5 linked regions of the Ovis aries genome follow. The protein of the gene in region 3 purifies or fractionates together with the protein of the main gene of each other region. This does not show direct contact. Links are inferred from orthologs where the notes say so. Each region holds a gene or a part of one and is shown on either strand. Other genes may lie near its edges. The genes, in order: NAPA, USE1, BNIP1, NBAS and RINT1.

Region 1 (5,055 bases), on a different chromosome or scaffold from region 3:
ACTCTCCCCCACTCTAGCTGCTGGAGTCCTTTCTACACAGGAGGTCTTCAGCACTGGCCCTCCAGTGAACTGAATTCTTGTGTCCCCTGCCAAAACTTGTGTGTGGAAATCCTAAGCTCCAGGGTGATGATATGAGGAGGTGGGTGGGGCCTTTGGGAGGTGACTAGGTCATGAGGGTGGGGCCCTCGTGACTGGGATTAGTGCCCTTACAAAAGACAGCAGGACACAGTGAAACAACAGCCGTCTGGGAGGCAGCAGGCCCTCGCCAGGAACCAGACCTGTCAGCACCACAACCTTGAACTTCTTGCATCCAAAAATGTGAGAAATATGTTTCTGATGGTTATAAGGTACTGAGCTGATGGTATTTTGTTACAGCAGTCTGAACAGCCTAAAAAGGCCACGAAAATCCTCAGTGCTCTCCAGCACCTCCACAAATCCAAGCCTTTTCTCAAAAAGCCCTCTGGGATGGGGCCTGGTTCTTTAGTCTCATCCCCTTCTGCCTGTTCTACCTTTACGGGCTGACGCAGAACCCCCTGCAGTAAACCTTCAGACGCTGGCCTTCACACATCTGGGCCTTGCTCAAGCTGCCTCCTCTGTTGGGAGCTGTGCTCTCCCACCAGAGAGCACCCCCGGAACTCCTGCTCATCCTCCCAGGTGGAGGCTTCTCCCCACAGGGAGCCAGCCCTGGTCTCTCTGGATCTCAGTTCCCCATCATTTCTGGACAAACCTCCCCTCACCCTAGACCTCTGTTCAGACAATTCCCATTGCCTGGAACACCCTCTCCAGTCCCCACTCCTGTGGCATGTCCCAGGGTTCCCAGGGGCCCAGCTCATTCCTCACCAAGGAGTTCCTTAAGCTCATGCAGCTTCCTCTCAGGTCAGGAACCTCCCACCAATGATAAAATGCAGCCCTTAATCACATGTGACAATTCTGCTTTACTAGTGTGTTAGCAAGTCTTCATCTTGCCTTCCCAGCCAGGTGACAAAGTGTTTCAGGCCCTGACTTGGCTGCTCCTTCCAAGCATGGCCCAACAGTACACTAATCCCCAGGGACCAGACACCAAAAGCCACCCAGTAAAACCATGACCTGACTGAAAACTAAGCTCTTGGCCCCACCACAAAGCACTGCACTTGAGTTTCTCCCCTTGTGAAGGAAGCAGAAACACAGACACGCTCTCCCTACTCTCAGCCTCTGAAAGAAAACATTCCTCACCTAATCAATACAGTCCATCAGCCCCGGATGTTTTTCCACACTAGCGAGGTCTCAGCCAGGTTACTCAAGTTCTTGCGGTGGATAAGTAAACATTATCCACCACTTGTAACAATGAGCGGTTCCCATCTCCTCTCCGGGGAAGAACCCTCCTCCTCATTTCTTACCAACCTCCTAACACCGTCTCTCCTAAAGCCCCAGTCTTCCCCCGCAAACCCCGTCCCCAGCCTTGGCCTCTCTGCTGCCAGGTTCCATGGCCCCTCCTCACAGTTCCTCCTAACTCTCTACACACCCGCCTGTTCCCCTGCAGCTCTCCTCCCAGTTTCAAGAGCAACACAACGTTCCTCAGTCCTCCCTGGCTCTCTCTCCACCGGAGGTCTCAAGCCCCTTCCCCTAACCCTATCAAGTCCCCATGGCCCGAATTCCTTCCCCAACCCCTTTCAACTCCTTACTCATCACATCGCCTCTCCCTGCTCTGACAGCCCCCCTCCCACTTCTCCCATCAAACCCCCACCTTGATCCCCATCAGTCCCGCCCATCAAACCCCCACCTTGATCCCCATCAGTCCCGAACAGGCTCCATACCTGTTTCTTTCCCGGAAATGACACTGATGGTAGCTAACACTTTCAGAGTGATAACCACGTCCCAGGCTCAATTCTACACCCTTTACGCGTGCCCTACTTCAATACTAGTGGCAAATGCCTGAGACAGGTTTCTCTGAGACACCACTTCCCCATAATAAGGGAAGTTAAACAGCTTGCCCAAGGTCAAGAAATGGCAGAGCCTAGGCTTCTGACCTGAGCTTTTGATCCTCCTCAGCCACTAAAATTCCTCAAACGACAGTCATCAGAACAACTCTTATGAGCCAACATGAACTCATGTGAAATGTCTGCCACAAGCATTAGGTGTTGATTCTGTTTCCCAGCCCCCTTCAGCCCTAACCTGGGCATGCCAGTCTCATTCTGCTCACACTGCATGCCCCATCTTTACTCAAAGATCACACAGCAGGCCTCCGGCCCCTTAGGTTTTCTTATCTCCCTCATCTTTCATTTTTATCCCACCAGTTCCTAAACCAAGCTTCACTCCCACTTAGTTTCCAGCCTCCCAGCCCTCTTCGGCCTTCACTCCATCACCCCAGAGCTTCCTCTGTTCAGATCTCACTTGGCAGTCAGGTCTCTTTACACTAGTCACCTGTGACCTGGGCCATATTCACCTGAGACACTTCACGCAATTCAGACTGGGTCCATCAATCGTAGGATCATCTTAGCCCTGACGCCCGGGCCAGAGTTCACGTAAGTCCATCACCCCAGGTCTCGGAAAAGGGACGCCCTCAGGCATAAGTCCTCAGTCTCAGGGCCCAAGACTCCCGTCTGGGATCTTTCAAACAGGCTCTCCTTGAGCTCCAAAAGGCTTCCTAGCCTGGCTTCCCTCCAGGCTCCCTCGGTCCCCGCAGGCCACATTCCCTTCAAGGCCTGAGGCCGTATTCCCCTGGCCCTTTGGCCCGTCTCCAGCCTGGGGCCCCTTCCTGCCTCCAGATGGTTTCGCCTCGGCCCGGGTGTCCTCAGCCCACGGCCCTGCCACAGTCTCGGACAGTCTTTCCTCGAATCACGCTGTCAGTGCCACAGTCCGGCGTCCCGGCCATGGCTTGTACCCTCTGCTGCCTCAGACCATGCCCGTAAGCCCGCAAACCCCCGCGTCCTCTAGGCTCGAGCCCTTCGCCTCTACCGCCGCCCCAGAGCATGACTCCTCCGTCCTCTCAGCCGAGGTCCCGGCCGACCCCTGCGCGCGGTTCTTACCCAAAGAGGCCCGAGAAGAAAGACTGCGAGTTCTTCACTTTGCGCTCCGCCTCGGCCAGCAGCGCCATCGCCTCCGCCTCCTTCCCGGAGTTGTCCATAGCGGCCGCAAAAGTACTCAGCAAACCGCCGGAGCCCTGCCCTCGGAGAACTCAGATACGACCGGGTCGCAGGAGACAGGTCGGGGGAGCTTAGTGGGCTGCGTTGACGTCGCACCGGCGCGCGCCTCCTGCGGCCAGGAACCACGTGATTCGAGCTGGCCAACCAACGGCCTCGTAGCGCGGCGTGCGCACCGCAGACCACGCCCTCTCCAGCCGAGGCACGCCGCCCCGTGATTCACGGCCTCCAATCAGCGATCCAATTTTTAACGCATGCGCATGTATCTGTCTTAGGGTGCCTGGTGCGCTGGTTGATAACCCACGTGATTCCGCACAAGCCAATCGTAGCCCTCAGCGCCAAGGACCCGCCTCCTGGGCTTGTTCCTGCTCCACCAATCAACTTCAGCCTTTGGCTCCGTCTGACTTCCCTGCGGAATTTAGACCCTAGTCAGCTGATCCCTAATCGTCACGTGATAGCTCCATGCCGGAAGACTGGGTTTGACAGCTCTTTTGCGCAGAGCTTAGTCCCCGCCTCCTCTCATTACCTCCTGAAGGTCTCTTTCACTTGGAAAGGCGTCCGTGGGTAAGAAGGAAAGCGGTCTCCGTTTTGTTGCGCCCTCTGTCGACCTATGCTGAAATTGGTTTGGGAAGACCAGAGAAGGCTGCATATCTCATTTTATTGTGCTTTGCTTTCTTGCCCTTCCAAGATACACTTTAAAAAAAAACAAATTGAAGGTTTGTGGCAATCCTGCATTAAGCAGTTCTCTCAGAGCTGTGCGGTTTCCCAAACAGCATTGGCTCATTTAGTGTCTCAATGCCACGTTTAATAATTCTCACAATATTTTAAAGTTTTTTGTTACTCTTGTTAGGATGACCTGTGATTGGTGACCTTTGATGTTATTATTAAGACTGGCTCAGATAATGATTAGCATTTTTTTGCAATAAAATATTTTTAAATTATACATTTCTAAAATAATGCTGCTGCACCCTTAATAGACTGAAGTAGTCTTTCCTGGTGAGTTACTTGGACAGAGGAGCCTGCCCGGCTAAAGTTCATGGGGGTCTCAAAGAGTCGGATGCAACTGAGCGACTGACACACATACACACATAGTGTAAACATAACTTACATGCACTGGGAAACAAAGGGAAAGTCATGTGTCTGGCTTTATTTATGAACTGAACCTGCAATGTCTTAGAGGTATGCAGAGGGGAGCAGAGGTTGTCTAACGCTGGTTTCATTTAAAAAAAAAAAAAGCTAGTGAAACTGTTAAAAATTTAGGTTCAATTATATCTAGCGCCCAGATCTTAGTTTTTAATACTCTTTGTTCTCCAACAAAAGGAACGAGAGCTCCTTGGATAAAAGGCTGGTTCTAGGACACTGCACAGGATGAGCCTGGAAGGTCTTGTAGTTCCAGAAGGTAAGTCTCCTGGCCTCCATCTCTTTGTTTCTCTGCCTCCACCCTCCCACACACACCCCCACACCCCCACACACACCATGAATCTCCTTCTCCCTCCCTCCCTCTCTCTTTCTCTCTCTCTCTCTCTCACACACACACACACACACACACACACACACACACACACGATGAGGTATATCAAAGAGACAAGAGCCAACCGAAAGAGCTCCCAATGTCAAAGATGGAACAATCTGAGCAACAAGCAGCCCTGGATTATAACCCAGTCTATAAAATCTCCATGAGCTCAGAGTTCCCAATAGTCAAAGCTGCAACAATTTGAACAACAAAGTAGCACCTGATTATAACCCAGTCTATAAAATCTCCATGAGCTCATGCTGATATAAATGACTGAAAAATAAATGGTGGAGAATAAACAAATATTCTGTGCATAATTCCAAATAATTTATGTGGATATTCCATTCTCAAGATGGAACATGACTCCACTCCTTCATGTAGACTGTGCACAGACTTTCATCTGCAGAGGACGGTGTTGGGGGC
Region 2 (4,686 bases), on a different chromosome or scaffold from region 3:
GACTCACCTCCCCCAGCTGCCTGCCCTCCTTCCTCTCCTGGTCATGTACTCTCTGTAGCTCTCATGGGGCTCCAAGGGCCTTCCCATCACGCTGCCAACCCCAAAAGGTATCACCCCTGGACAGGGTGGAGGGCAGAGAGGGCACAGGTGACACAGGCCAGGCCAAGTCTTTATTTGAGTTTGGGCATGATGCGGATGAAGAGGATCATGCTGATGAAGATGAAGCAGACGACGATGAGCATGGCCCAGAGCAGCCAGTTGACTGACTTCTGTGTGTGCTGCTCCAGCCGCTCGGATTCCGTCTTCAGCTTTTCCAGGTTCTGGTCGGCCATCTTGAGGGAGTGTGACAGCGTCTGTGGGTGAGGCAGGGCGAGTGTCAACAGGACTGCGTCCAAGTGTCACCGCTTCCTACTGCACTGGGGCGAATCTGTATCTCTTGGCCCTTCCTAGTGCTGTTTTCTCCTCTGGGAATGCCATTTTTTACTTCTGCCAAACTCCTATTCATCCAGCTCAGTCCCAGCCATAGGGACCTTCTTCTGGGAAGCCTTCTTTGATGCCCCAAACCAGAGGCTCTAGGGTTCCCAGAGTCCTCATACCTGGTTGTCCTTCTTGATGACACTCTGGGCAGCCAGTGTGTTGGTCTTGAGGCTCCGGGCCAGGCCGAGCATCTCCTCTGCCAGCTTCTCCTGGAGGTTCTGGTGTCGCTGCAGGACGAGGTCTAGCTCAGCTGCTGACTGCTTCTCATCCCTTGGTGTGGGCCCTGACGCCCCACTGACCCCACAGATGGGTAGACCAGTGGGTATGAGATTGGGGTGGGGGAAAGAGGGAAGAGACCAACATGTTTTCAAGGGACCTAGAGGTTATAGTTCCAGCTACTGTGCTGCTTGGGGCTGTTTCTCCTTTTTCACTTTGGCTTCTGGGAAAAGCATCCTCAGAAGTGGCTGTTCGTTAGTGTTTTTTTTTTTTTTTAATTTTATTATTATTATTGGCTTTACTGCTCAGCTTGTAGGGTCTTTTTCTCCAACCAGGGATTGAATTAGGCCCTTGGCAATGAAAGCACACAGTCCTAAGTACTGGACCACTGGGGAATCCCCTGATTGGTGGTTTAAATGCTCATCGTTGTGCTTTAGTGGTCCAACCTTTGTCCAACTCCCCTCTCCCTGCAATGCTCCCCAAGGGCTGAAGATACTCACGTTCTCTTCCTCACATCCATTTCGGGCTCTGAAAGCAAAACAAGCCAAGCAGGCAAAAAGGAAGAACTGGTTTGCTGTTTTCCAGCTTCCTGACCATTGCCCAGGATGTGTCTGCTACTCACAATGCCATTTCCCCTTCTGTCTGTTGCACAGCAGGTGCAGGAAGTCTTCCTCATCGGGCACCCCCACCCCGGCCCCGGGTCCTCTCTCTAGCCAGCCGTAGTCACTTGGGCTGGGAGTGTCCAACTCTGTTTCCTCTAGGGCCCCTTCCTGACACCCTTCTAGCCTTCCACCTTCAAGTGTGGAAAGGCCCCTGGGCACAGTTTCCCTGGGCTGCAAACACCCTATGGGAGCCAGGTTAGGCACGAGGGATGTGGGGCACTAAGGATATGTATCTGTCCCAGGCCTTGAGTCCTGTTCTGCTTATGCTGTCTCACCTTCACTAGAGTCCTGTGGGAAAAAAAGAGAGGCACAGAATCACCAACCATGCCATGCCCCCAGACCTGTCCTTTCTCTTTCAGAAACTCCCCACCCTCAATCAGGACCCTGGACAAGTCCTGTAACCTCTGAGGCTCAGTTTCCTCATCTATAAACTGAAAACAAGGGTTCATATTTTGAAGGGTATTTTTCAGATCCACAGGAAGTGCTCATAGAGGTACCTGTCACCCTATTTCACAGCTGAAAAAAACTCACTGGTGTGTGGTGAGGCGGGGCCAAACCTTGCTTCGGGCCAACTCTGGGGCTTTTAAGTGTAGATGTGCCATTTTTGCCTTGTATGGAAACTCTTATTCATCTAGTAAAGCCCTGGCCACGATGCCCGTCTGTTGGGAAGCCTTGTCTGATGGTCCAGGTCCTGTCTGTTGGGTATCCTAATCCCTGCACCGGACAGTGTTGTTCTGGCCACCTCCACGCACAAATTCCTATCCCCACCTGAAGTTTTCCAGGGACGAGGGAGGGAGCCCTACCGTGCCTAGCAGCTCACTCCGCATCTCACTGGTGTACCGAGCCCGTGACTGCAGGTGTACTGTCTTCGTAGCGGGGACCCTTTCCCTGGCTGTAGTGGGCACTCGGCCAGGGGCCAGGAACTGGTTGGCTAGTGCCTTCTCTGAGGAGGAGGTCTGCAGAAGCGGGAAGGCAGCAGTCACCAAAGTGGCAGGCCCCAGGTGAGCATGAAGGTTGACCAGGCAGAGGGGCCCCTGCTTACCAGTTTCTCTGCCTGCAGCATTCCCTTCAGAAAATCTACCTTCCGAGAATATTCATTGAGCACCTCCGAAGCCGGTTTGCTGGAAGGGGAGAAGAGGAAAAGGAAAGCCTACTGTGCCCAGTTGAGGGGAGGTTCTTAGCGGGAACTGGAGACCAGGGTTCTTGGTCTCCAGTAGGAGACTCAATTTTGAACCACTTGTGGCCGCCTGCACTCACCTCGCCTGTGCTTTCAGGGCCTGCAGCATGTCCTCGAGAGCTCCCACGTACTGGGGACAAAAAGTGGGGTGTCAGCCCAGTCCTCCCCCTATCCCTACATCCTGCTCAGAGAGATCAGAGCCAGCAAGGGGCGAGGCCAGGATGGGGGCGGGATTGAAACAGGAGGAGCCAAGCATCAGGAGGAGGGACCAGTTGAGCCTCAGGGAGAAGGCGGGAGAGCAGCAGGTGGACGTGGCCGGAACCAACCGGAAGGGGCGTGGCCACGCTGGCTGGCGGGGCGGGGGAGTCGGGCCCGGTGGCCTCTAGCTGCGGGGGCCACTCTCCTGGATTCGGGGTTTACGAGGAAACACGGAATTCCCTACCTTTTCTAGACGCCACTCGTCCGGGTCCCGTTTCTCCGCTGCCATCGCCTCGCAGCGGCACAGTAGCCGCACCAGGTTCAGCTCCAGCCTCGACGCTGCCATCACCACCCAGTGGTACTCCGCCCCTTCCGCCGGCGCCATCTTAAGAGATGGCGGAAGTGCCTTCCGTGGCCTCCTTCCGGTCGGAAGTGCCCTGTTTGCTGTCCCATTCTTGTTCTTGTTTAGGGTGGCGGAAGTAATGTCTTGTTTCAATGCGGGACACCATCCCGTCTGCATTTACTCCGGGATGAATCGCTTGCTTATTCTTGCGAGTGTCTTGACCCTTCCGGAAAGGTTGAAAGGATCAAGTCCTTCGGTGCCAGAAGACCCACATGCAAAGCGTGAAGTGCTCATTACTACCCCCCTCAAAATTCCTACCCCTCTCTCCGCTCCTTCCAGAGTTTTCCGCTCTGAGCCCTTCTGCATCCAGGGAGTCTTCTCTGAATTCACGAGGAGAGGCCCTGACCTGGGACTTCGGAATCCAAGACTTAGGGGCTATTATTTCCGGTTCCAGCCCTGACCCTGACTCCACCTCCCGTCGTAGCCTTTTGCGAGTTTCTTAACTTTTTCTGGACCTGTTTCCGCTATTGGGAAACGGTTAGTCTGGCAGTGACATGAGCTAAACCTGGGAGCGTGAGGTGTGGCTGGGTCACCCTCAACGCCCAGACCCCCGTGGACAGAACCCCACGCGCGTCCTCAAGAAGTTAAGGCCCCTTGTTCGAGTCTCCCTCTGTGGGCCCTCCGAGTGAGGATGGGGACATCACAGGGGATGAAGCCTGGCATACATCCCTCAACTATCTCATCCTTCAGGTTACGTGTTCAGATCACATCAGTGGTCTTGGTCCCCTGTAAGTACTGTGGATGAGTCTAAACTCAAACTCAGGTTGTTGATGGGGTGGTGGGCCGGAGGGCGGTGCCGGGGAGCGGTTCTAGAGCCAGACAGGGCTTCCCAAGTGGCTCAGTGATAAAGAATCCACCTGTCAGTGCAGGAGACACAGGAGACGGGAGTTCGACCCCCGGGTCAGGAAGATCCCCTGGGGAAGGAAATAGCAACCCACTCCAGTATGCTTGCCTGGGAAATTCCATGGACAGAGGAGCCTGGTGGGCTACAGTCCATGGGGTGGCAAAGAGTCGGACACGACTGAGCACACATCCACACATGCATGAGCCAGACAGGGCAGGGTCTGAATCCCCGGCCGCCCCATCCCAGCTGTGTGGCCTTGGCCTAGACCACCAACTCTTCAGCATGCGTCCCTTAAACTCAGGTTTGTCATGGTCTCCTAACTCCCCCACACCTACAAACCCTATCTGCCAACCAGTTACAACTGCCGATCTGGTTGCAACCTGGGAGCTTCTCTGTTGGTGGCGATGGTGGTGGTGCTGTTGCTTCAGGCTCCAGTGGGTCCCCCAGGACCGACTCCCCCTCCCCCAAGGCAGATGGCCCCTTCAGCTGACATTTAAGCCCCAGCTGGGGAGGGGCTAGCTGTGACAGGAGGCAGCTCCCAGGACAGAAAGTTCTCCTCACTTCATGTGACTCTGCCATGAGCTGCCTGCCTCCTCAGCTTTCTGGATCAATAAAGAGCACTTCCAGGGATTCCGCTGGTGGTCCGGTCAAGCTTCCACTGCAGGGGGTGTGGGTTTGATCCCTAGTCAGGGAACTAGGCTCCTATAAG
Region 3 (4,255 bases):
CATGAGTTCGATCCCCAGTAGGGAAACTAGGATCCCACATGCTACACAGCGCAGCCAAAAGTAAAAAATATATATACAAATATATAAATAAAAGGAGCTCACAGGAAAAATAACATTGGGGAGTACAATTGTAAGTGGATGTCCTAGTAGACCAGCTGGCAGCCAATAACCGATCATCTCCCTGCCTGGCCAGAAGGGTCCCCAGAGCCGGAGATAAAAAATAGACTCTCAAGGCCCTCCTCCAGGACTGTTGGCACCCACTCTCCAGGAGAGAGCCTAGGAGTTCTTCCAAACATTTTGATGGGGTGTGTGGATCCTTCAGTACAACTATAAAAACCAAAAAGGGAAATGAGAGCAGTGCATCCCAACTGGGTAAGACCACGCTGTCACAGGAGTGAGAAGCCACACAGATCAGTGAAGGCGGGGCAGATGTGGGCAGAGGTGGAGGAGCCCAGGGGTGAGGGCCTGGAGCCCAGCGGCAGCCTCCCACTGCAGGCCTGGCCTGACTTTACCCAGCGTCTGCATGGCTTCCTCGCTCTGCTGGACCTGCTGGGACATCATCCTGCTGATCCCCATGAGGCTCTCTGTGATGGCGCTGGACGTCTGGGCCAGGCTCTCTTTGGCAGTTTTCCTAGAAGTACAGAGTAGGAGGAGGAATGTCAACAAAAGCCTGGCTCAAGAAAGCCCCGGATTCAAGCAAGATCCCACCTTCTAATCTATCGAATCAGCACGTTTTTTAAATGGTCATACTTAACGGTGGCAAAGGACTCCCCCTGACGGCTCAGGGGTGAAGAACCCACCTGCAGCGAGGAGACTCGGGAGACGTGGGTTTGATCCCTGGATTGAGAAGGTCCCCTCAAGGAGGAATGGCAACCCACTCTAGTATTCTTGCCTGGGAGAGTCCATGGACAGAGGAGCCTGGCGGGCCATAGTCCATGGGGTCACAAAGAGCCTGACATGACTGAGCGGCTCAGCACACCGCAGTGGTGGCAAGGGCATGCGAGCGCACGCACGTGAAGACTGCCGGTAGGGATGCCCACTGGTGCTCCTTCTGAGAGCCAGCTGGCGATGTGTGTTAGGGGCCTTAGCAATGCTCACGCCTTTGACCCAATAATCTCATCCCTGGGAATCTCTCCAAAGGAAATACACAGAATGTGGACAACGCTTTACGTACATGTGCCCTCGTGTGTTACTCATAATACAGACATAATGAGAAATATAAACACACACAAGCAGGGGATTAGTTATAAAGAGCTTTTTAAAAAAACAGGCAAATCTTTGTGAAGATAATAATACTAAGTGAAGACTAGGAGACTATGTTTAAAGCTCAGTTCAGTTCAGTCGCTCCGTCGTGTCCGACTCTTTGCGACCCCATGGACTGCAGCACGCCAGGCCTCCCTGTCCATCACCAGCTCCCAGAGCTTACTCAAACTCATGTCCATTGAGTCGGTGATGCCATCCAATCATCTCTTTCTCTGTCATCCCTTTCTCCTCCTGCCCTCAATCTTTGCCAGCATCAGGGTCTTTTCCAATGAGTCAGTTCTTTGCATCAGGTCCAAAGTACCGGAGCTTCAGCTTCAACATCAGTCCTTCCAATGAACATTCAGGACTGATTTCCTTTAGGATTGATTGGCTGATCTCCTTTCAGTCCAAGGGACTCTCAAGAGTTCTCCAACATCACAGTTCAAAAGCATCAATTCTTCGGTGCTCAGCCTTCTTTATGGCCCAACTCTGACATCCAAACATGACCACTGGAAAAACCATAGCTTTGACTATATACACCTTTTGACAAAGTAATGTCTCTGCTTTTTAATATGCTGTCTAGGTTGGTCACAGGTTTTTTTCCAAGCGTCTTTTAACTTCATGGCTGCAGTCACCATCTGCAATGATTTTGGAGCCCAAGAAAATAAAGTCTGTCACAGTTTCCATTGTTTCCCCATCTATTTGCCATGAAGTGATGGGACGAGATAATATATGGTACCATGCTGATTTTATAAAAAATATGGAAGAAAAAATAATGAAAGGAGGCAATATATCAAAATAGTTGTGAACAGCACAATTCATACTTTCACTTTGTGATTCACATTTTAATTTTACCAATTTACTAAAAACAAGAATGTATTTCTTTTATAGTTAAAAAAATTACTTATAAAATATCAATTTTATGCTGAAAACAAGAGAGGGTTCCCCACAGTAGGTTTTGCACCTTGCCAACTGCTGTCTATTCTGTCATCAAAACCCAGAAAGACAAGAAGATACATACCTTTGCCGGAATAGGTCTCCTCCCTGGAGAAGTTCTGCTTTCTCTAGGTTGTCGATAGCAATTTTGCAAGTGAGGTTAGCCTTCCTCCATGAGGTCTGATTGCTGGAATTACAAAAGCCATGTGTGAGTTTCTCTTGATGCCGACAGGCTGTCAGTCAGTTCAAGTCACAGTAGCCTTCCAGCCAGGGAGTGATGGGGAGGCTACCTGTGTGTAGCCCAGAGTCCGTCACCCTTCCCACCATGTCCTCTTCTTGGCTGCCCCAGAAACTGTTTCCATTCTCCTACCACCCACAACAGTCCCTCTCCCCCAGGGCAGCCAGAGGGAGAAGACCGGTCACAGCGTCCCTGTGCTTACAGCCTGCAATGGCTCCACTAAAGGGAAACAGCCAAACTGCCCAGCTGGGCGCACGCGGCCCCGTTCAAAGTCATCTCCTACACATTACTGTTCTGCCCGCGGCGTGGCTTGGTTCTGCTCCTGGAGAACTATGCCTTGTTCATCTTTGTTTCACCAGTACCCAGGACAACAGTTATTGACCCATTAGCTGCTCCATCAATATAGGCAGTAAGAAGTAGAAAAATCAGTATAAGACAGTTTTATTCAATATTTCTTCAAGGTTTGCTGTTCTTTACACCAGTGGTCCCCAATCATTTTGGCACCTTTGGTGGACTTTTTCTGCTATCAATTCTCTTTAGATTAAAAAGGACCCTATATTACAAAAGCAACGAATTTTTTGCTTTTAAAAAAATATAAAATACAGCATAATGTTAAATATGCTTTTGTACACTATACACAGTCCCAGCTACCAAAGAGCCCCGGCTTACCCCCTAGCTTCAGCAGGTTTATTAGGCAAACTCAGGCACAAGCCTCACCGGGAGCAGGGGGCCCAGCGGAGGCCACTGGCCGGAGGCCAGGCCCCACCCACCTGAGCATCTGCTTTTTGTGATTCTCCACTTCTTGGAGCAGAACTTGCTTCTCTGACTCTTTGTCTTGCTCTTTAGCCGACTGCTCAAGCTCCTTTGGGAGGAAATCAGCTCTAAGTTAAAATGATTTTGAAAGGTAATGAAAAACTGGAAAGCACTTCTATTTCTACCAGTTATGCAACAGCACTTGAAAACCCTCCTAGAACAGAAGACTCAGGAATGCTGGTTCATACACAACAAACATCCTTTTACATAGAAAGCTGTCTAAAAAGAAAGAAAGGACCATCCTCAAGAACTCAAAATGAGAAAGAAACTATGAGTCAGAGCAGCCTTCCTGTGAGGGGTGTGAGGCTGCCCTGGAGCAGGGGATGCGTTCCTGCGTTCCTGCGGTCCAGGACGTGCCTGAAAGGAAAAGGGAAAAAACTACAGTAACATAGGAGCCTACTGATCCCACTCTGAGATATGATGGAAATAACACACTGCTATTTGTTTCTACAGGCTCTCAGTCTTGGTACATATTTCAGACTGAATGGCAAACACGGCTTTCAAGTCCATGTGGGGACAGAAAACAAAGCTTTGGCCACCTGAAGCTGGGAACTGGAACTGAGACCACTGCAAAGCCAGGAGCACAAAGGGATACAAATACCCTCAGTGAAAAGGTGAGCTAGGAAAACGTCTGTCAACCAGCACAGAGAAGTTGTGGAGTTTTCTGTTGTGAGACGTGGCTAGAGGGATATAAATGTCTCTCCCGATTATAACCATGGCACTCCCCTCACATGGATCGAGGGTCCAAGTTCATCCTTCCTGAGTGGTTCAAGAACCTCCACAAGGAGAAACAAACATAAAAAGTGCTCCCAGACCTGTGGTAATCCCAGGAGACCTGGCAAAAGCAAATGCAAAAACCTCTGAAGAGACATTCAACCCAGGTCGCACGAAAGCCCCACAGGTAAGGCCTTCTGAAAAGAAAGACTCAGAGCCCCAAATAATCAAACCCCAGGACACAGCCACCCACCTCAGTGAGGGGCAGCAGCCCTCACTTTCTTTTCCTCTAGAACTCTCTCTGCTTCTCTG
Region 4 (4,791 bases), on a different chromosome or scaffold from region 3:
TATTTCCAAACTTAGTATATTACTTATATATATATGTCCTAAATTTTCAAAATTTCACATTTGATAATAAAAACTGAATATGCTAGTGTGTCTTATAACAGAAGATAAAATTATTATTATATTTTCAATCATACTGATGAACCTATGTGCAGGGCAGCAATAAAGACACAGAGAATAGAACTGTAGACACAGGGGGTAAGGAGAGGATGGGATGAATGGAGAGAGTAGCATGGAAACACATTCCCTGCCATATGCAAAACAGCCAGTAGGAATTTGCTGTATGGCTCAGGGAGCTCAAACTGGTGCTCTGTGACAACCTAGAGGGGTAGAATGGGGTGACAGGTGGGAGGGAAGTTCAAGAGGCAGGGGACATATGTATACCTATGGCTGATTCCTGTTGATGTATGGCAGACACCAACACAATACCATAATGCAATAATCCTTTAATTAAAAATAAACTGTAAAAAAATGTGTCTGTATAAACATATGAATACATCCATGTGTATGTATGTATATATACACACATGCTTACATAGACGTATATAGTTAAGACACATGCATTTTTTTATAAAATAGGTAACATTTATGCTATTAATACTCATTTTAATCAGGCAAATTAATAGTAATTTGTTTAGCAACTGAGTTTACATTAAAACTCAAAAGGACACATTTTCAAATCCCTAAACTTCTTAAAAGCACAGTTACAGAATAGGAAAAAATAAGGAAAAAATTATCTGCTAACTATATCATAAATAAATAAGCTATGGTGGTGGTTTAGTCACTAAGTCGTGTCCAACTCTTGTGACCCCACGGAATGTAACCCGCCAGGCTCCTCTGTCCATGAGATTTCCCAGGCAAGATCACTGGAGTGGGTTGCCATTTCCTTCTCCAGGGGATCTTTCCAACCCAGGAATAGAACCTGGATTTCCAGCATTGCAGACTCCTAGGCCACAGGCAGACTCTTTACCAACCAAGCTATAAGGGAAGCCAAAATAAGCTATACTCACCTCTAATTGCTTTTGTGATGATAAAGGATGCACCATGTTTCCGGTTGCCTCTAGGCTGCAAATGAAAAAATAATTTGAGAATTTTCCACTGATACTTATATAGTAAGCTATATTTCTTTGCTAATACACAGTACTGGGCACAAGTTACCAGTATCTTTAAAACTACTTATAGATAGAAACAAAACAAGGAGAAGCAGCATAGGAAAGTGAGCATGGCAGAGATACAGGCATTTGCCAGGATGAATTCTGCAAGACAGGACAGGGATTGAGGTTGGAAAATGTTTCTAAATCAAAGCACCAGTGCAAACACAAAAAAAGTCAAGGTCTAAGACCCACACTGGTTGCCAGTTGGCACAGTCTATTTTGGAGGCCTACAGAGGCCTAAAAGGGGTTTTGCTTGTAGAAAAAGCGATCATATGGATCAATAAACTCATGCCCCAAAGCAAATTTATTGAACATTAGCTGCATATTCATAGAGAAACTACTACAAACAGCCACACTGATACATAACTGCTATATAAATAGTTCCTTAAGTACAGAACAAACATAGGTTAAACAATACTAGGCACTATAACCTGGAAGATGTCCTAATGGTCACAAAGTGCAGGCAGATATGGCTTAAAAGCACAAAAAAAGTTATTTCATTCAACAAACATGAATCCATCATTTACTTTGCAGAAGACAAAATTTGGTTTGGGGAAGGAATATAAACATGAGTCAAATGTAGCTGACTTTCAAGAGCTTGTAGTTCAGTTAAAATCAATAGAACCAAACAAAAAAAGTGTTATGAGGTTTCAATGTAAGTTGATGCAGTACATATTTCTTTAGCCAATTTATAATGTGAAGCATTTCTATAACATTATGTAATTAACCAGTGAGTGCTAAGGTGTGGAAAGGTATCCTATTCAATCAGTGGCAGCAGCAACTTTCCAGCTACGTAAGATACAAAATATCAATTGTTCGACACAAACAGAAACTATGTAAATACTTTTTTTAAATTATGCATGAGGATCTCTGCTAGCCTACAAAATATTCCAAAAGACAGAAACTGCAATGGGAAGGAGGTTAAAGAAAAGCTTATAAACTTTACAGGAGAAGCAGTACTTTCTCCACTAAAGAAACTCAGCAGCCAAAAAAGAAGAAAGAAAGAAAAACTCAGAAAAGAGATTGTAAATAAGAATTCGTATGGGCTGGAGCCCATGATCCTCAACGAAACTCCTTTCCCACCTTGCTGCATATTCTGATCTTAAAACAGCAACTGGCACACGTTAGGCACTCAGTAAATACGTTTAATAAATGCGGGTTTCTGCTTCTTATCTCCACCCTGTGCCTGAGAGGTCCTTTCTATTGACCTACTGTCCTTTCTATTGAAACTACTGACTCCAAGGTCTAGATTACCAACACCTAGGACCCCACTTCTAACAAAGAACCCAACCCCGGGTCCTCATAAATTTTCACTCCTCAGGGCATTTTGCTCACATCACTATTACAGTGCATATTACAGCAGGTGATGAAAAAGTTTACTACACTGTCTTCCCTCTAAGACCGCAAGTACCACCAAACTTATTCACTTCGGAAGCACAGCGCCTCACAGTATCTGGAACACGGACAGATATACACATACACTCATTAATTACTTAAATAACCCAGGAACTGACACAACTCGGGTCCAGATAGGAACAAAGGTTTATGCCGCGCTCCATGACAGCCCAGCAGATGCTGAGATGACTGCAGGGTCCTGGAAAATACTCCCACAGCAGGTGAGGAGCAGCCCTGCCGGAGCCGGTCCGGTAAAGGGACTACCGAGGGTCTAGGTGAGGGAAGGACCCCCGAGTCCAACGCTGTGCCTCCCCTCCAAGTAGGGACGGTGAAACAGAACCGGGGTAGTAAAGTACTTGCCTCAGAGCCCGAGGTTTCGCCCCCCGCCCCACCCCGAGAGCCGAATTAGGAGTCCAGGAAGCATGCCAGAAACTCCACCTGGGGGACCCGGGCCCCCGTTAGCTCGCGGTGCCGTTGCCAAGACGACCGCACAAGCGGTGGAGCCCGGCTCCATCACCCTACGTGGCTCCGGCTACGTGTCTCTGCCGGGGCAGCGCCGGCACCCAGCTGGCGGCAGCCCCGGCGGGGCCTGGTTCACCTGTACTTCCGTCTCCGGGGGCCACTCGGTGTTGACCAACAAGTCATAGAGTATCGTCTCCTCCTCGCCCTCCGCAGCGCCTGGATTCACGGTCGGCAATGGCTCAGAGGACGCCATATTTGCCCCCACCAAGTGCTGGGGCCGGGCCACTACGGCAAGCCGCGGCGGACAAGCTTCCGCGGCCACGCCGCCTCTGATTCCCCGGGAAAGGGGTGGAGTTAACCCGGGGTGGAAAGGAAATGCTGAGTTGAAACCCTTCTTTGAGTAGGTGGAACAACCTCTCGCTTGTCTTGCGGTACAACTTACATTCTGGTCTTGGTACGCTCCCTCTTTATTAATTGCATGAGATCAGCCACATCCCAACCTCTCTTACCCCGTCAGCTTCTATAAAACGAAAGTGATAGAACTATCTTCTGAGATCCTTTCCAAGGCAAACCATTCATCATCACAGGAATCCAAGTCTATGCCCCAACCTCTAACGTGGAAAAAGCTTAAGTTGAAAGGTTTTATGAAGTGAAGTGAAGTCGCTCAGTCGTGTCCGACTCTTTGCGACCCCATGGACTGTAGCCTACCAGGCTCCTCTATCCATGGGATTTTCCAGGCAATAGTCCTAGAGTGGATTGCCATTTAGTTCTCCAGGGGATCTTCCCAACCCAGGGATCGAACCCGGGTCTCCCGCATTGTAGACAGACGCTTTACCGTCTGAGCCATTCTATGAAGACCTACAAAGACCTTCGAGGACTAACACCCTGTGTTCTGCCATTTATGTATGCGTTGCCTAACTGATACAAAGAGGGCAAACTGGTTTTTTTTTGTTGTTTTTTGTTTTTTTTTAATAAACACAGGAAAGCTATCCTGTGCAACAGATTAAACGAATGAGAGGTATCACCGGAATTCCCTGTTGGTCCAATGGTTAAGACTCAGGCTTTCACTGCTGTGGGTTCCCAGGGTTCAATCCTTGGTGGCGGAACTAGGTTCCCGCAAGCTGTACAGTGTGGCCAAAAGTTTTGAGAAAGGTATCAGAGAATGAGGCTATCGGAGTTCAGAAAAAGCCAGAGGGTCTAGAGGGGCTTTCTGGAGGAAATGAAGTCTTTAACAGATAAAGCTGGAATCAAGAGCAGAGGGTTTGGGGAGCATTTCAAGTAGGGGGAAATGGGATAAGGACAGAGGCAGAAATATCTAGTTGAAAGAGCAAGCAGCTGAGTAGAAACCAAGCCAAGAAAGGGCGTAGGGGCAAAAAAGTTGAAATAATAGGTTGAGGACCCACTTGCAGGTCTAGGCTTATTTGTTCATTCATTTAGTCATTCCTTCGTGCAACAAGTGCCTCTCTGAGAAAAGCCCTGCACTGTGAGCAGAGACGCACAACCTGTATAAGTATACGGTGTCCAGGTGTCTCGCTGTATCTCATTGTTCGCTGAGCCCAGAGTGTGCAGAGCACGAGCCAGGAAGCTGGGAAAAGACGCAAAGAGCCATAGTGAAGGAGGAAATAGAACAGCCTCTGTCTTGAAAGCAAGACTCCATCTTGGGCTGGACTGTGGACTTCGAGCTATATGCCCAGTATCTATGGAAACGACATACCAACTGGAAAACCAGGTCCCTGGAAGGAAGAGCCCCAGGGCTCGTACTTAGACTCTCTGTCACCTAAAA
Region 5 (4,255 bases), on a different chromosome or scaffold from region 3:
TGGGAAGAAAAGAAGATAATCTCTGAAGGCAACTTGATAAACCTCAACCGAGAAAAATTTAGATGACACTAGTTTCTACCCAGAAATGGAGAAGAATAACACCTAAAATTTTGTATTCACAATAAGAGATACCTCTCCCCAGCCTACAGGCATATGAGCACTTACATTTTCTCTCCACAGTCAACCATCTCTGAAAACAGGTCTCCTCTGATAGAATATGCATACAATTAGCAAAAGTGCTAGGATAGCCATGAACGCTGTGTAGTTCTCTTTCAAACAAAAGCACCTCGTCCACCAAATGACAGAAGAGACTGTCGTCATAGAGCAGACAAGGAATATCAGCAGCTAACTTCTCAAGAATCAGCATCATAAGTCCCCGAGAAAATTCAAGCTAAAAAAACATAGAAGCATAAGGAAATGAAAATGACAGCTTATTCATGGACACCTGCAACTCTGAAACTGAAATGCTTTGGACTGAATCTCTTACCCTTGCGTTTACCAAAGAGCCCACTTTGTCCAATATTGGCTGAATCTTCTCATCCAGAAACTGAGTGTGGTTCCCGATCCACAGAAGAACCTGAGCCAAGTACCATTCAGGCTAAGGAAGAAGATGAACAGTTTGAATTCTTAACTCATTCCAACTAGAAAGTTACAGTTAGTTAAATGTTTGTATACATAAGAGCACAGTTTTGACTCTGAACTTTACATTCACAGAAGGCTTAATAATCAAATGTTTCCCAATGTACTCCCAATAAATTTCAATAATGTGGCTTAAGTCAACTAATGAATTTAAATTACCATAAATATTTAAAACCTAGCACTTTAGAAATATGTAAAAGATAAGTATCACAAAGAATGATGGCCTTTATATAATTTTTTGGAAATAACTTTCCAAAATAATTTTTAAACATGACTTTCTTCTGTTTTTTCTTTTTTTCAAAAGCTAAATTAAGAAAAATTTGGCTGGTCGGCGTTACAAAAAATATAAAGACTTAAAGCAGCTGTAATTACAGAAAAGTAATGTAACTGTGCAGTTTTTTTAAATTGTCACTAGAGGTGATTCTATAAACCTTCTATGTTTTGTTGGACAGGAACTCTAAAACATTTTCTGAAAGGTAAAACCCTGCTGTGTGCTAGATGCTGGGAATACAGAAATGAAAAAGGGGCAGTTAATCTCGGGGCCTGCATAGTTCAGGCTTCCTGTCAGAGTACTAGACCACTGGAACTACAATTTAAAAAGCAACCAACAGAACTAACAATTTTCTCAAATCATTACTGCCTCTCTACAGTTTAGACTTCTTTTGTGTCACTTACCACTTACTAACTGGTTCTACTCTTCTTTCCACCAACACCCCATCCAAGAGAGGGAGACCCAAGAAGTACAAAAGAACAAGCTGAATTTGAGAACCAGAAATTCATTGTTATCCCACTCTTCCCTACATAGATATAACTGCCTATCCCTTGATTCCTTTACAATTCTATAAAGCCTGTAAACTCATTTATATGTGACGTACAATGTCTGCCAAGTAATCAGGCATTTTAAATCATTTAATTCAAAACACTTTCTGTAGGACTCCTCTGCTACTTGCACTGCATCACATGTAGGAAGACTTCAAGGATACACAGTATCCACCCCCTAGCAACTCCCAAGGTTATAATTCTCAACACATTCAATCAAACTTCACTGAAAACAGTTGTCTGTGATTTTCAGAGCAGATTAAAGAAAAAGTCTCAACAGGATGTCCAATACACTTGGGTGTGGTCCCTCAACTAAAATGCTGGTGATAATTTCCTCAAAGTCATTCCTGTTACTTATCCCCATACTCTCTCTTGTATAGCTACAAATCATTTTATATTTTTTTTAATTCTTATTCTTATTTATTTTTATTTTTTGGCCGTGCTGCATGGCACATGGGATCTTTGTTCCCTGACCAAAGATCAAACCCACGCCCCCTATGGTGGAAGCACAGAGTCCTAACCGTGGACCACCAGGGAAGTCCCACTACAAATCACTGAGCACATTAGCACTTCCATTCAAAAGCTAATGCTCTGCTCCCTTTTGACTCTCACTTCTCTTTCTGATGTATTCATAAACCTGAAGGAGCAGTTTGCACAGTGGAACACATGGGGATCCAGTTGTAAAAAAGTGCCACAGCAAACGCTACAGCACACCCCAGAAGAAACCTGAGGAAGTGGTCAGACGGTGTGTTAATGAGCGCACTGATTCTTAACGACATATCAACACAAGTCCCAAGTTATATCTGTAAAGGGCAGTGACCAAACTGGAATTTAGCTCTTTAGAGAAAAAACAGGAATGCGGATAGAATCAGAATTTAACTTAAGCCAGCAAAAGTAGGGACATCCTTAGTATTTGCTATTAATTAAAACCGGGGCAAGAAGCGGCAAAGCACACCTTGCTTATAACGTTAGTCTGCCGGTTCCCTCTGAAGTGATACCTGAACCTCTTCTGAAGGGGAGTCAGCATAATCTGGATGGGCAGGATGACAGAAGGGGACGTGGGAAGAGAGTATTTTTCTGGAAGCTGTTTTGGCTCAGTAAATAATTCATCTCTGACATAGTAAAGTCAAGGAAAAAGAAAAGCATATATGTATAGATATGTATACACACAGAACATTTATCTAGCAGATATATATGATACTGAGAAATTATACAGATAATATGTAATCTCACTTTAAATTACATATGACTTAAGTAAAAAGTCCATGAGAAATGTTATTAGAATTAATCTTTCCTAAGATAAAGGATAATAAGTAAGGAAACACATTTGAATAATCATTTTATTAAATTAACACTAAGTTACTAAGGCTTCCTTCCAATTTTGCCCAGTTTTTTGATTGTCCCAAGAGACCTATATGTGATGCAAACTTGGGTCAATCATGTAGTTCAGAACTCCTCACAGCCCTTCCACCCACACGCAGTTTATTTGGAAGGAGAACAGCACCACTCCCGCCCACTACATAACCATACACAGGTAAGTCCAAACCTAGTACTCCTCCCATTTTGCTTCTTGGCCACTTTCAGAAAGCTTTCCTTTCTGGTCCAAATCCACTCTAGAAAAAAGAAATTTTAGTAAGTTTTAACCCCTCAAAAGATACGAGGTTTGTAGTTTCAGAAGCTGACAGAAGAGTGTCTCCAGGTTACTGTATATCTCAGGGGCACTGGCTGGTCGACTGATGCCAACAGTTTGAGACTGAGGGGGTGTGATGAATGGCCAGTGAAGCTGTGCTAAAATTTCCTCAAAATCACTGTAACAGAAAAGTGAGAGAAGTATTGCTATCAAACACAATGAACATCAAAGAGCCATCTGAAAGCAATTACCATGAAACATGGACAAATTCCTTGCCTTGTAAGCTTGTCCTTGAGAATTTTATGCCAGAATTTAACTGTGGCTCTCATGAAACCCAGAAGATGAGTACAGGAAGATTCCTGAAGCTTGATGTCAAGTTCTGCCATGGACACCAGAGTAGAGGCTGCCTCTGGGACATTATTGGTCATCAGATATTGCTGAATGTTATCACTGAAAGATAAGGAGGAGCAAAGTTGAAAGACACTTTGTTCAGAGTAATTCCAAATGTGGAAAACTGCTTCTTCCTCCTGCTTTACATAAAGCTACAACCAAAAGAAGAAGGAAGCACTAACCTAAAGTGTTGTTTTTTTTTTTTTAACTTGACACCCCAGTCTTTAGGAGCCTGGAATCCTCAGCATCCTCCTAAGAGCAGTGGGCTGTGTTCAGGACATCTGCCTCCACCTTTGCCTGCCCAGCTCTCCCAATAGGACAGACTTTTCCTCTGTCACATTCCATCAGGCACCCCTCATTTCTAAGAAATCTGTCTTTTACAGAATCTTAATCCAAGGGGAGAATGGGGGTGGCATCTGGTAAGTCAATAATGCTAGTCTTCAATCTGTATCTACTTTGCCCAGCTGAACCTGACTATAGGGAACTTAGGGAGGTGGCACCTCAGAATCAAGTCCTTTCAAGTTACTGCCAAGCTGCACATAAAATTTAAGGCAAGCTCTATAGCGAGGATAGCAAAGTCAAATGCCTAGAAAGGCCCGACAGGCAAAGTAAATTAAGAAAAGCAAAGGCGAGCCAAGTAAAAAGCACATACCCCACCCTAAGGCTCTAGCCTAGGGTTGTCACACTGGAATGTAGATCTAATGTGGCCAAATCTTAAACATTTTTAGGAGAAATCAAGATTTCCATGCAAAATCAAACTACTAATCAAATTCTTTA

Evidence for each region.
Region 1: the proteins of BNIP1 (region 3) and NAPA purify together in Homo sapiens (affinity purification with mass spectrometry; 3 studies listed by BioGRID and IntAct, with this or other methods). This does not show direct contact. The link is inferred for Ovis aries from reciprocal best matches to the Homo sapiens genes BNIP1 and NAPA.
Region 2: the proteins of BNIP1 (region 3) and USE1 purify together in Homo sapiens (co-immunoprecipitation; 4 studies listed by BioGRID and IntAct, counting the BioPlex papers as one, with this or other methods). This does not show direct contact. The link is inferred for Ovis aries from reciprocal best matches to the Homo sapiens genes BNIP1 and USE1.
Region 4: the proteins of BNIP1 (region 3) and NBAS purify together in Homo sapiens (co-immunoprecipitation; 3 studies listed by BioGRID and IntAct, with this or other methods). This does not show direct contact. The link is inferred for Ovis aries from reciprocal best matches to the Homo sapiens genes BNIP1 and NBAS.
Region 5: the proteins of BNIP1 (region 3) and RINT1 purify together in Homo sapiens (co-immunoprecipitation; 3 studies listed by BioGRID and IntAct, counting the BioPlex papers as one, with this or other methods). This does not show direct contact. The link is inferred for Ovis aries from reciprocal best matches to the Homo sapiens genes BNIP1 and RINT1.

The regions. Positions count from the first base shown.
Region 1 is NC_056067.1:54,244,024-54,249,078, forward strand, and holds the start of NAPA (alpha-soluble NSF attachment protein), read right to left. Parts: upstream 3,251-5,055; 5' UTR 3,104-3,250; coding exon 3,006-3,103; intron 1-3,005. UniProt on the Homo sapiens protein: Required for vesicular transport between the endoplasmic reticulum and the Golgi apparatus. Together with GNA12 promotes CDH5 localization to plasma membrane.
Region 2 is NC_056058.1:5,651,637-5,656,322, forward strand, and holds USE1 (vesicle transport protein USE1), read right to left. Parts: upstream 3,126-4,686; 5' UTR 3,116-3,125; coding exon 2,975-3,115; intron 2,663-2,974; coding exon 2,613-2,662; intron 2,477-2,612; coding exon 2,398-2,476; intron 2,312-2,397; coding exon 2,159-2,311; intron 1,644-2,158; coding exon 1,631-1,643; intron 1,222-1,630; coding exon 1,194-1,221; intron 772-1,193; coding exon 597-771; intron 354-596; coding exon 171-353; 3' UTR 152-170; downstream 1-151.
Region 3 is NC_056069.1:5,009,299-5,013,553, reverse strand, and holds part of BNIP1 (vesicle transport protein SEC20), read right to left. Parts: intron 3,279-4,255; coding exon 3,187-3,278; intron 2,366-3,186; coding exon 2,264-2,365; intron 632-2,263; coding exon 513-631; intron 1-512. UniProt on the Homo sapiens protein: As part of a SNARE complex may be involved in endoplasmic reticulum membranes fusion and be required for the maintenance of endoplasmic reticulum organization. Also plays a role in apoptosis.
Region 4 is NC_056056.1:23,954,837-23,959,627, forward strand, and holds the start of NBAS (NBAS subunit of NRZ tethering complex), read right to left. Parts: upstream 3,298-4,791; 5' UTR 3,262-3,297; coding exon 3,145-3,261; intron 1,063-3,144; coding exon 1,008-1,062; intron 1-1,007. UniProt on the Homo sapiens protein: Involved in Golgi-to-endoplasmic reticulum (ER) retrograde transport; the function is proposed to depend on its association in the NRZ complex which is believed to play a role in SNARE assembly at the ER. Required for normal embryonic development.
Region 5 is NC_056057.1:48,165,259-48,169,513, reverse strand, and holds part of RINT1 (RAD50-interacting protein 1), read right to left. Parts: intron 3,539-4,255; coding exon 3,365-3,538; intron 3,267-3,364; coding exon 3,117-3,266; intron 2,571-3,116; coding exon 2,414-2,570; intron 599-2,413; coding exon 488-598; intron 392-487; coding exon 166-391; intron 1-165. UniProt on the Homo sapiens protein: Involved in regulation of membrane traffic between the Golgi and the endoplasmic reticulum (ER); the function is proposed to depend on its association in the NRZ complex which is believed to play a role in SNARE assembly at the ER.